Linked DNA regions of Oryctolagus cuniculus. The protein of the gene in region 1 purifies or fractionates together with the protein of each later gene. This does not show direct contact. Links are inferred from orthologs where the notes say so. Each region holds a gene or a part of one and is shown on either strand. Other genes may lie near its edges. The genes, in order: NDEL1 and DYNC1I1.

Region 1 (3,915 bases):
GGTCACAGGCGTGGGCTTCTTTTGGTTAAGCCTCAGGTTATGACCCCCATGTCCCGCATTAGAGTGCCTGCGTTTCATGCCTGGCTCTGGCTCTGGCTCCCAATTCCAGCTGTCTGCTAAAGTAGACCCTGGGAGGGAGGCAGCAGGTGATGGCTCAAGTACTTGGGTCCCTGCCACCCATGTGGGAGACCTGGATGGAGCGCCCAGCTTCCAGTTTTCTCCAATGCAGGCATTTTAGGGAGCGAACCAGCAGATGGGAAATCAATCTCTCTCTCTCTCTCTCTCTCTCATACACAGAGAGAGAGAGAGAGAGGGAGTAAGTAATCAGTTTTAAAGTAGGACCTGAAAGAGAGAGGATTCGTGCAAGAGAGTGAGAACTGATTCCTAAGATGATGTTTAGGGTGTCCCAGGACAATAGTATGCAGTAGGACTGGGGGCAGCTAGTCCAGACTGGCGTGATGGGACGAGGCTCCCACGGAGATGTCTCCAAGAGAAAAAAGACAGAAGCTGAGAGATTATCTGATGTGTCAGATCAAATTGACAGGAATTTAATAGCTCTTTTGGAGAGGAGTCAGTGACATGTGTCATAAAAACTAAGGCAACTATCAGCTCCAGGGAAACAAATAGACAAAAGAAAGGGAACGTCATCATCATAATTTATATAGCACCGAGAAAACTTAATACAGTCACAGCGTAACAAACACATATAACATAAGCACAAATACTGACTTAACCAAATTGGTGTTATGCCATATCAGGAGGATGGGGGGACAGTAATGTGGGCAGGGTGAGAGTTTTATACCCTTGCCTTTTACAATAAGAAACCAATAGATCATGATTAACACAGAAAAATAAAGAAATAGCCACATAGGCACTCTATTTGGAAAGAAAAGCAACTAAAAATTTCAAAATATTTGCCTCTGGTAGGGAGAGCCTGGAAGTGGAGGGGTGGGACGTGGAGATGCTGTTTTTCATTGCAAGCTCTGTGTTGCTTTCACAGAGGTAGACGTTGGATTTAAAATAAATGAACCGATAGGGCTTTTCTTAAGGGAGTCTGAACAAATGAGTCAAAAGCGTATCAATGGGGCCAGCGCTGTGGCATAACAGATAAAGCCGCTGCCTGCAGTGCCAGCATCCCATATGGGTGCCAGTTCAAAACCCAGCTGCTCCACTTCGATCCAGCTCTCTGCTATGGTCTGGGAAAGCAGTAGAAGATGGCCCAAGTCCTTGGGTCCCAGTACCCACATGGAGATCTGGAAGAAGCTCCTGGCTCCTGGCTTTGGATTGGCTCAGCTCTGGCCATTGTGGCCATTTGGGGAGCAAACCAGTGGATGGAAGAACTCTCTCTCTCTCTGCCTCTGCCTCTCTGTAACTCTGCCTTTCAAATAAATAAATAAATTTTTTTTTTTTTTTTTTTTGACAGGCAGAGTGGACAGAGAGAGAGACAGAGAGAGAAAGGTCTTCCTTTTTGCCGTTGGTTCACCCTCCAATGGCCGCCGCTGCAGCCGGCGCACCGCGCTGATCCTGGCAGGAGCCAGGAGCCAGGTGCTTTTCCTGGTCTCCCATGGGGTGCAGGGCCCAAGCACCTGGGCCATCCTCCACTGCACTCCCTGGCCATAGCAGAGAGCTGGCCTGGAAGAGGGGCAACCGGGACAGAATCCGGCGCCCCAACCGGGACTCGAACCCGGTGTGCCGGCGCCGCAAGGTGGAGGATTAGCCTATTGAGCCACGGCGCCGGCTCAAATAAATCTTTAAAAAATAATTCCTCATGTAAGGCTAAAAGTCTGTATCCCAAAGTCTTCATTTTTGGGGTACAGATATTCCCCAGTTCTCTGTACTGTATTGTTCCCATTTTTATCAACTATCAGGGAAAAAATATATCTATATATATACTTCCATTTAGAAAATGAAATAAAAGTTACTGTGAGCCCTGAAGAATATATTCTTACAGTTTACAAAACCCCCTCACATTTTCCTGCTTCAGCACCACAAAAACCCAGTGAAACCAGGTGTGTTCCACTTTGCTGATGACAGCCCAGGTTCAGAAGGAAGTATCTGGTCCACAAGCCACCAAGCCAGCCAGCCACGGAGCCAAGGCTCAGTCGCAAGCCCCTCTGTGAGCCAGCACTGTGAGATCACCGTGCAGCACACCAACAGTGGCCCTGCCAGCTCCCCATCACCCATCCCAGCCCAAGGAGCTCCCTCCACAACGCCACAAAAAACAAGTCAAGGTGATCAGAAGCCTAGGAGGATCAGAAAGACACCAAAGCAAACCCCTGTTGTCCACAGGGACACAAACAACTTCACAGACTGACCTTGGCCTCCAACAACCCCCCCAACCACCCACATCCCGAAGGCAGAGGGGGTCCTCAGACACCAGGTCCCCTCCTCCGATGTCTCCCGAGCCAGTGTTCTCCTGACCCAGACCTTGTCCAATCAGCCCCCACCTCCCACTCCCCACCATCCCAAGCTACCTTGTCCTGGGTCCCGGAGCCTTGGCCGCTCACATCCGCAGCAGCCGCAAGGCTTGCGCTGCACCGGCTGAAACAAAGGAGAAGTCAACAGGAAGAGTGAGAATCACCGACCCACAACAGAGACGCAGGACAGGAAGTGGGCGAGAGCCAGGAAGGCTGGGGCCTGCTGTCTCCAAGTGAGGCAACCCCGCCAGGCCCATTGCTCAGTGGGGGGTTGAGCAAGACTGTGGTGCTGCAAGAAATACGGGTCCTGGTTCCTGAGCCAGGCCTTCCACGGCAGGCAGGGGAGCCCCTGGTCTCCCAAGCAAATGCCCGGGCTCTCCCCCACTTTCTGTAAGAGAAGGCGATGAGGGCAGGGCAATGGTGTTTCTATCTCTGTGGTGGCCCCGGCACAGAACCAGTGCAGCCCCGAGCATCAGAGAAACGGCCTGTAAGTCAGACAGAGCCCCGACCTACCTCGTAGCTGAGAGAACAGAAGCGAGTGGCTTTGCCTCTCTGCATCTCATTTTCCCCATCTATAAAACGGAGATAATTCCAGGACTGACCTCAGGGCGTCGTTCAGCGCTTTGTGAGACAGCATGAGTAACCGGCTTCATAGGAGGCAAATTAGTCCCCTTAGTTGTCAGGGGTTGTCCTCTTTCTGCCCCTTTTCCAAACCTGACGCCCTCCCTAAGTCTTAGAGCACCTGGTCTGAAGAGCACCTGCTCCCCCACCCCCACCCCCAGCCACCTGTAGCCTCCACAATGGTCGTAGCCCTCACGTGTCAGTCTCACGCTCCACAAGCAGCACCAGCTGTAAGAACTGTGACTGCAAGCAAATGTGAAAGGAACAGGCTAATAATAGTTACTCAACAAATGCCTGTCAAGGGGCTGGCGCCGTGGCACTTCCTGAGGCACCAGCATCCCGTATGGGTGTTGGTTCAAGTCCAGGCTGCTCTATTTCCCACCCAGCTCCCTGCTAATGCACCTGGGACAGCAGCAGAGGATGGTCCAAGTGCTTGGGTCCCTGCCACCCACATGGGAGACTTGACAGAGCTCCTGGCTTCAGCCTGGATGCAACCATTTGGGAAGTGAACAGCAGATGGGAGATTCTCTCTGTCTCTGTCTGTCTCCTCTTTCTCTCTCTCAACTCTGACTTTCAAATAAATAAATCTTTGAGGAAAAAGGGGGTAGGAGAAGAACTGCTTTTGAGGTCCTTCACTGAGAACGCCTTTCCCAAGGTGGGGATCTTACCTAGGGTCACCCAGGGAAGGTAGGAGCTGCCGGGGGTCTGTTGCTGGATCCCCAGGAACACCCCGCAAAGCACCGGAAGTCATCCCACAGGTGTTTGTGAACCTTAGCGATGTTGTAGAAACAACACCTGGGTAAAGAATGTGGGAAACCTCGGGCACCTGGGCTGAGGGATCCAAGACAGAGGGTGGAGGTCTCCCAGGCAAAGCCCC
Region 2 (3,815 bases), on another chromosome or scaffold:
GGCACAGTATTGGAATACTATAGACAGGGCTGTTGGGATCCTTTCCTCCCACTCGGGAAAGCTAGAACAGTGTGAGAGACACAAACCACCATGCAGCTTCCAAACAGTAAGAACTCTGTCTTGATTGAGAGATGAGCAAATGGCCCAGGAAAAAGGGGCAGTAAAGTGGAATCCAATAGTTTGGACTAGATTGTAAAAGCAGATGCAAGACTGAACAGCTGGCCTCCCCTTTGGAAAAGTTCAGTGTGTTCATAGTGGGGATTGATTTCTCTTTCACTTTAGTAGTTCTTGTTCAATTGATTTTTTTTTTCATCTCTTGGGCTCATCCCAGCTGATTTAGACTCGATGAGGAACCGCAGGTCCCACGTTCACATCCGTGTTTTTTGTGATTTGCAGAAGCCTTTGTGGTTCCGCTACATGATTGTTTCCATCGTGGCAATACAAGCTGCGAGGTTCCTGCTGTAATGCATGAGGAAACAAGTGGTACTACCTGCTCACGTGGTCATGATCAGATGACTTGGGAAGATAGGCCTCACCGTTCCATGCCTGGCCTCAGTACTTTATAAAGGCTGGCTAAAACCACACATTAGTGTTTTATCAACACACAGAAAGACCTGATATGTTTCATTCATGCAAACATCTGCTCCCCTCTTACAAAAGACATTACTAGATGATGTGAAGCAAAGATCACTTAAACCTGGTTCCTGTCCTCAAGAAACTGATGACAGTGGGACAGATAAACACACACATATTTAACACAAGTGGTGTTAAATACTTGTTAGTGGCACAAAAGGTGCGGAGAAGGCGGTGGGCCAAACATGGAGTCGCGGCTCTAGCTACACATGGGTTAGAATCAGTAGGGCAGGGCCGGGTTGTGATGCAGTGGCTAAGCTGCCACTTGCAATGCTGGCTTCCCACATCCGACTGCTGGTTTGAGTCGAGGCTTTGCCCTGCCTCTGATCCAGCTTCCTGCTAATGCACCTGGAAAAGTAGAAAATGTTGGCCAAAGTCCTTGGGCTCCTGCCACCTGTGTGGGAGACCATGGAGAAGCTCCTGGCCAGCCCTGGTTCTTTGAGTCATTTGGGAAGTAAACCAGCAAGTGAACGATCTTTCTCCCCATGCACCCCCCTGACCATTACTCTGCCTTTCAAATCATTTTAAAAATGTAATAACTCTTAAAGAATCACTAGAGCCTAGTTTCTATTGACTTACTCTGGGATATTGCTCAGATCCTCAACTCTCTGTGAAGTTGCAACACACTCACTGATACTTTTCAGATATTTTACTTAGGCATCACGTGAAATATTCACATTAGCAAATTTTTGTTTCATGACTCTGTCCTTTTGAAGCACAATCAGAATAGGCACTAGGGCTCAAAAGAAAGATCCCCGTGGCATGCAGCACAGCTCCCTTTACAGCTAGCTTGGTTGTGCTTTCTACGTTGGTCTACTCATCTAAAATGTAAAATACAGATGTTGGCAAAGCCACAGAGTAGCAGACATTAGCTTTGTCGACATTTTAAATGGGTCAGATAGGGCTACAGGGAGAGGGGGGCATTTCTGTCTTTGACCTAATGTTGAGAAGGTGCAAATCCACTTCCATAAATTAAACAAGGTCCACATTTTGCACCCTATAAACCTTTTCAGGATGCTGTTAAGAGCAAGTGGAGTCTCACCAGGGGCCACTTCAAAGATCCACTCCTTGTGTTCATTAGAACAAATTTAAATGATGACGTGTAGAGCTGCTGTTGGCAGTTTCATTGGGCACAATTTTTGAGTGTCTGTTACGTGGAACACAGGCTGTAGCACTTTGCTCATGATTCTAAATTTTACTTAGCACATTGACATTTATTGGTGCTCAACATGTTTTAATAATTTAAGTGGTCTAAATGTTTTAACAACTGAATTCATTTTTACTTGTGGAGGCATAATATTGAGATTCTACAATCCCTTCATCTTTGTTATGTTTATAACTTGGACATGAATCTTTAAAACATGGTATTTTGGTATGCTCTCAAATTTTCCAAATTGTATGTGCTTGTATGCAGACATATATGTGATAATAGAAGTCTGGAAATAATCCCAGCTTTGTTAAAAATTGGAAATAGGTAACTTTAAAAATGTGTGTTGCTATTTCTCAAATACCCTTCTAAAAGGGGAAGGCATAGCTCACCCCTTGTCATGCCATTTCATTCAACAAATTTTTCTTGAGCGTTCGTTGTGTAGACACTTGGCAACAAGAAAGGCACCTGCCCTTATGGATTTATCAGTGAGTTTGCAAATCTCTCTTCAGTTCTCAGTGAAGAGAATATATCATTTTCTCCATATTTTATGACATCAGATTATGTATATTAGTTGAACATGACAAAAGTTTCCTCAAAGTGTTGCCTTTTTGAGATCTGTCTACTGAAGGAATTTCCTTGAAAGAACAAATTATTTCTCCAAGAATGTGTGGAGTTTTAGAGCAGATGGGATCACCAAAAGCAGTTAAAATGGAACATGATGAAAAATGCCATCTCAAGAATATGATAGTCTTCTTAGGTAACAGCCTCCGAGGTCTAAGTGTATTTGTTTCTATCCAAATAGCTGCATTGGTAGTGATAGGATTTGAGGAACTCCTGGGAAATTATTAGATGATAAAAGTAAATATTAAATGCTGAAAGTTAAAAAGATTATATTTCCCCCTGTGGTTTTTCTTAATCACCAAAAATAATGTATCATACTTGCAGACAACTTCCTTGTCTAAAGATCACCGTGGGAGGGGTGGTGGTGGTGGTGGTGTATGGCTGCTGATCTAAATGATGATGAAGTCATGCTCAGAAAGGAAGTTGCTTCTCTAAGGCAACCATGACTTTGCCAAGGTGGCTGAAATTCTCCTATGTGTTTTTTGTGCAGCAAGGCAGGCATTGGTGAGGTCTTTGAAGGTCACCAAGGGCCAGTGACGGGAATTAACTGCCACATGGCAGTGGGACCAATCGATTTCTCTCACCTGTTTGTTACATCGTCATTTGACTGGACTGTCAAGCTGTGGACCACAAAGGTAAGAATACTCGAGTGAAATTCCTGGGTAAAATACCGGGGAGAGGGTGGTGTCTCAGGCCCTGAGTGAGTTGTAGGCATCAGCTCTTCTGCGTGACCTGATGTTGGGAATCCTACAATCCCAATCCGGTGGTGAGCCCAGACTGCCCCAGCAGTAGTCAAGACTTTCTCAGTCTGTTTCTTATTTTTGATTACATGGGTTATGTTTGGCAATATTCTGATTATAAAAAAAAAATCAAAGTTGAATCTGAAATTCTCCTTCACCTACAGGAACCCACCCTCAACCTCCCCTTCCTTGTCTCTGTCTCAGTGCTTTCCCACTCATCAACCCCGTGTCAACCTTCTGGGTCTTTGTAGTACTTACTCATTGACCTATGTACCTATCAAAACATAAGATGTGCAACTTGGGTTGTTTGGATTTTGTGTTGTGTTTTGCAAGGCGGGGAGGGTGGTGGGTTGGTTTTTGGAGCCTTTGAAGTTTTCATGTCTGATAAAGGCCCCTGCATTATGTGTGTTGTGAAAGGTAATCCTTGCTGTGTTTGAGAGCAAGAAGCAAAGGGCATCTGGGAGGACGGGGCAGTGGTCCAGGGGAGAGATGAGAGTGACACAGGCCTGTAGCTCTGGGTGGAGAGAAGTTGATGGATTGAGAACCATTTTGAGAGAAAAACCACAGAAACTGACTATTGATTTGATGTAAGAAAGGTGAAAAAAGGAGTCGGCAACAGAGAACCCAGGTTGATGGGCAGTGCTGCTGGGATTTCTGGTGATGTCACTGCC

What was found.
Region 2: the proteins of NDEL1 (region 1) and DYNC1I1 purify together in Homo sapiens (affinity purification with western blotting; 3 studies listed by BioGRID and IntAct, with this or other methods). This does not show direct contact. The link is inferred for Oryctolagus cuniculus from reciprocal best matches to the Homo sapiens genes NDEL1 and DYNC1I1.

Annotation. Positions count from the first base shown.
Region 1 is NC_091448.1:52,861,698-52,865,612, reverse strand, and holds the start of NDEL1 (nuclear distribution protein nudE-like 1), read right to left. Parts: upstream 2,673-3,915; 5' UTR 2,475-2,672; intron 1-2,474. UniProt on the Homo sapiens protein: Required for organization of the cellular microtubule array and microtubule anchoring at the centrosome. May regulate microtubule organization at least in part by targeting the microtubule severing protein KATNA1 to the centrosome.
Region 2 is NC_091447.1:40,174,664-40,178,478, reverse strand, and holds part of DYNC1I1 (cytoplasmic dynein 1 intermediate chain 1), read left to right. Parts: intron 1-2,894; coding exon 2,895-3,039; intron 3,040-3,815. UniProt on the Homo sapiens protein: Acts as one of several non-catalytic accessory components of the cytoplasmic dynein 1 complex that are thought to be involved in linking dynein to cargos and to adapter proteins that regulate dynein function.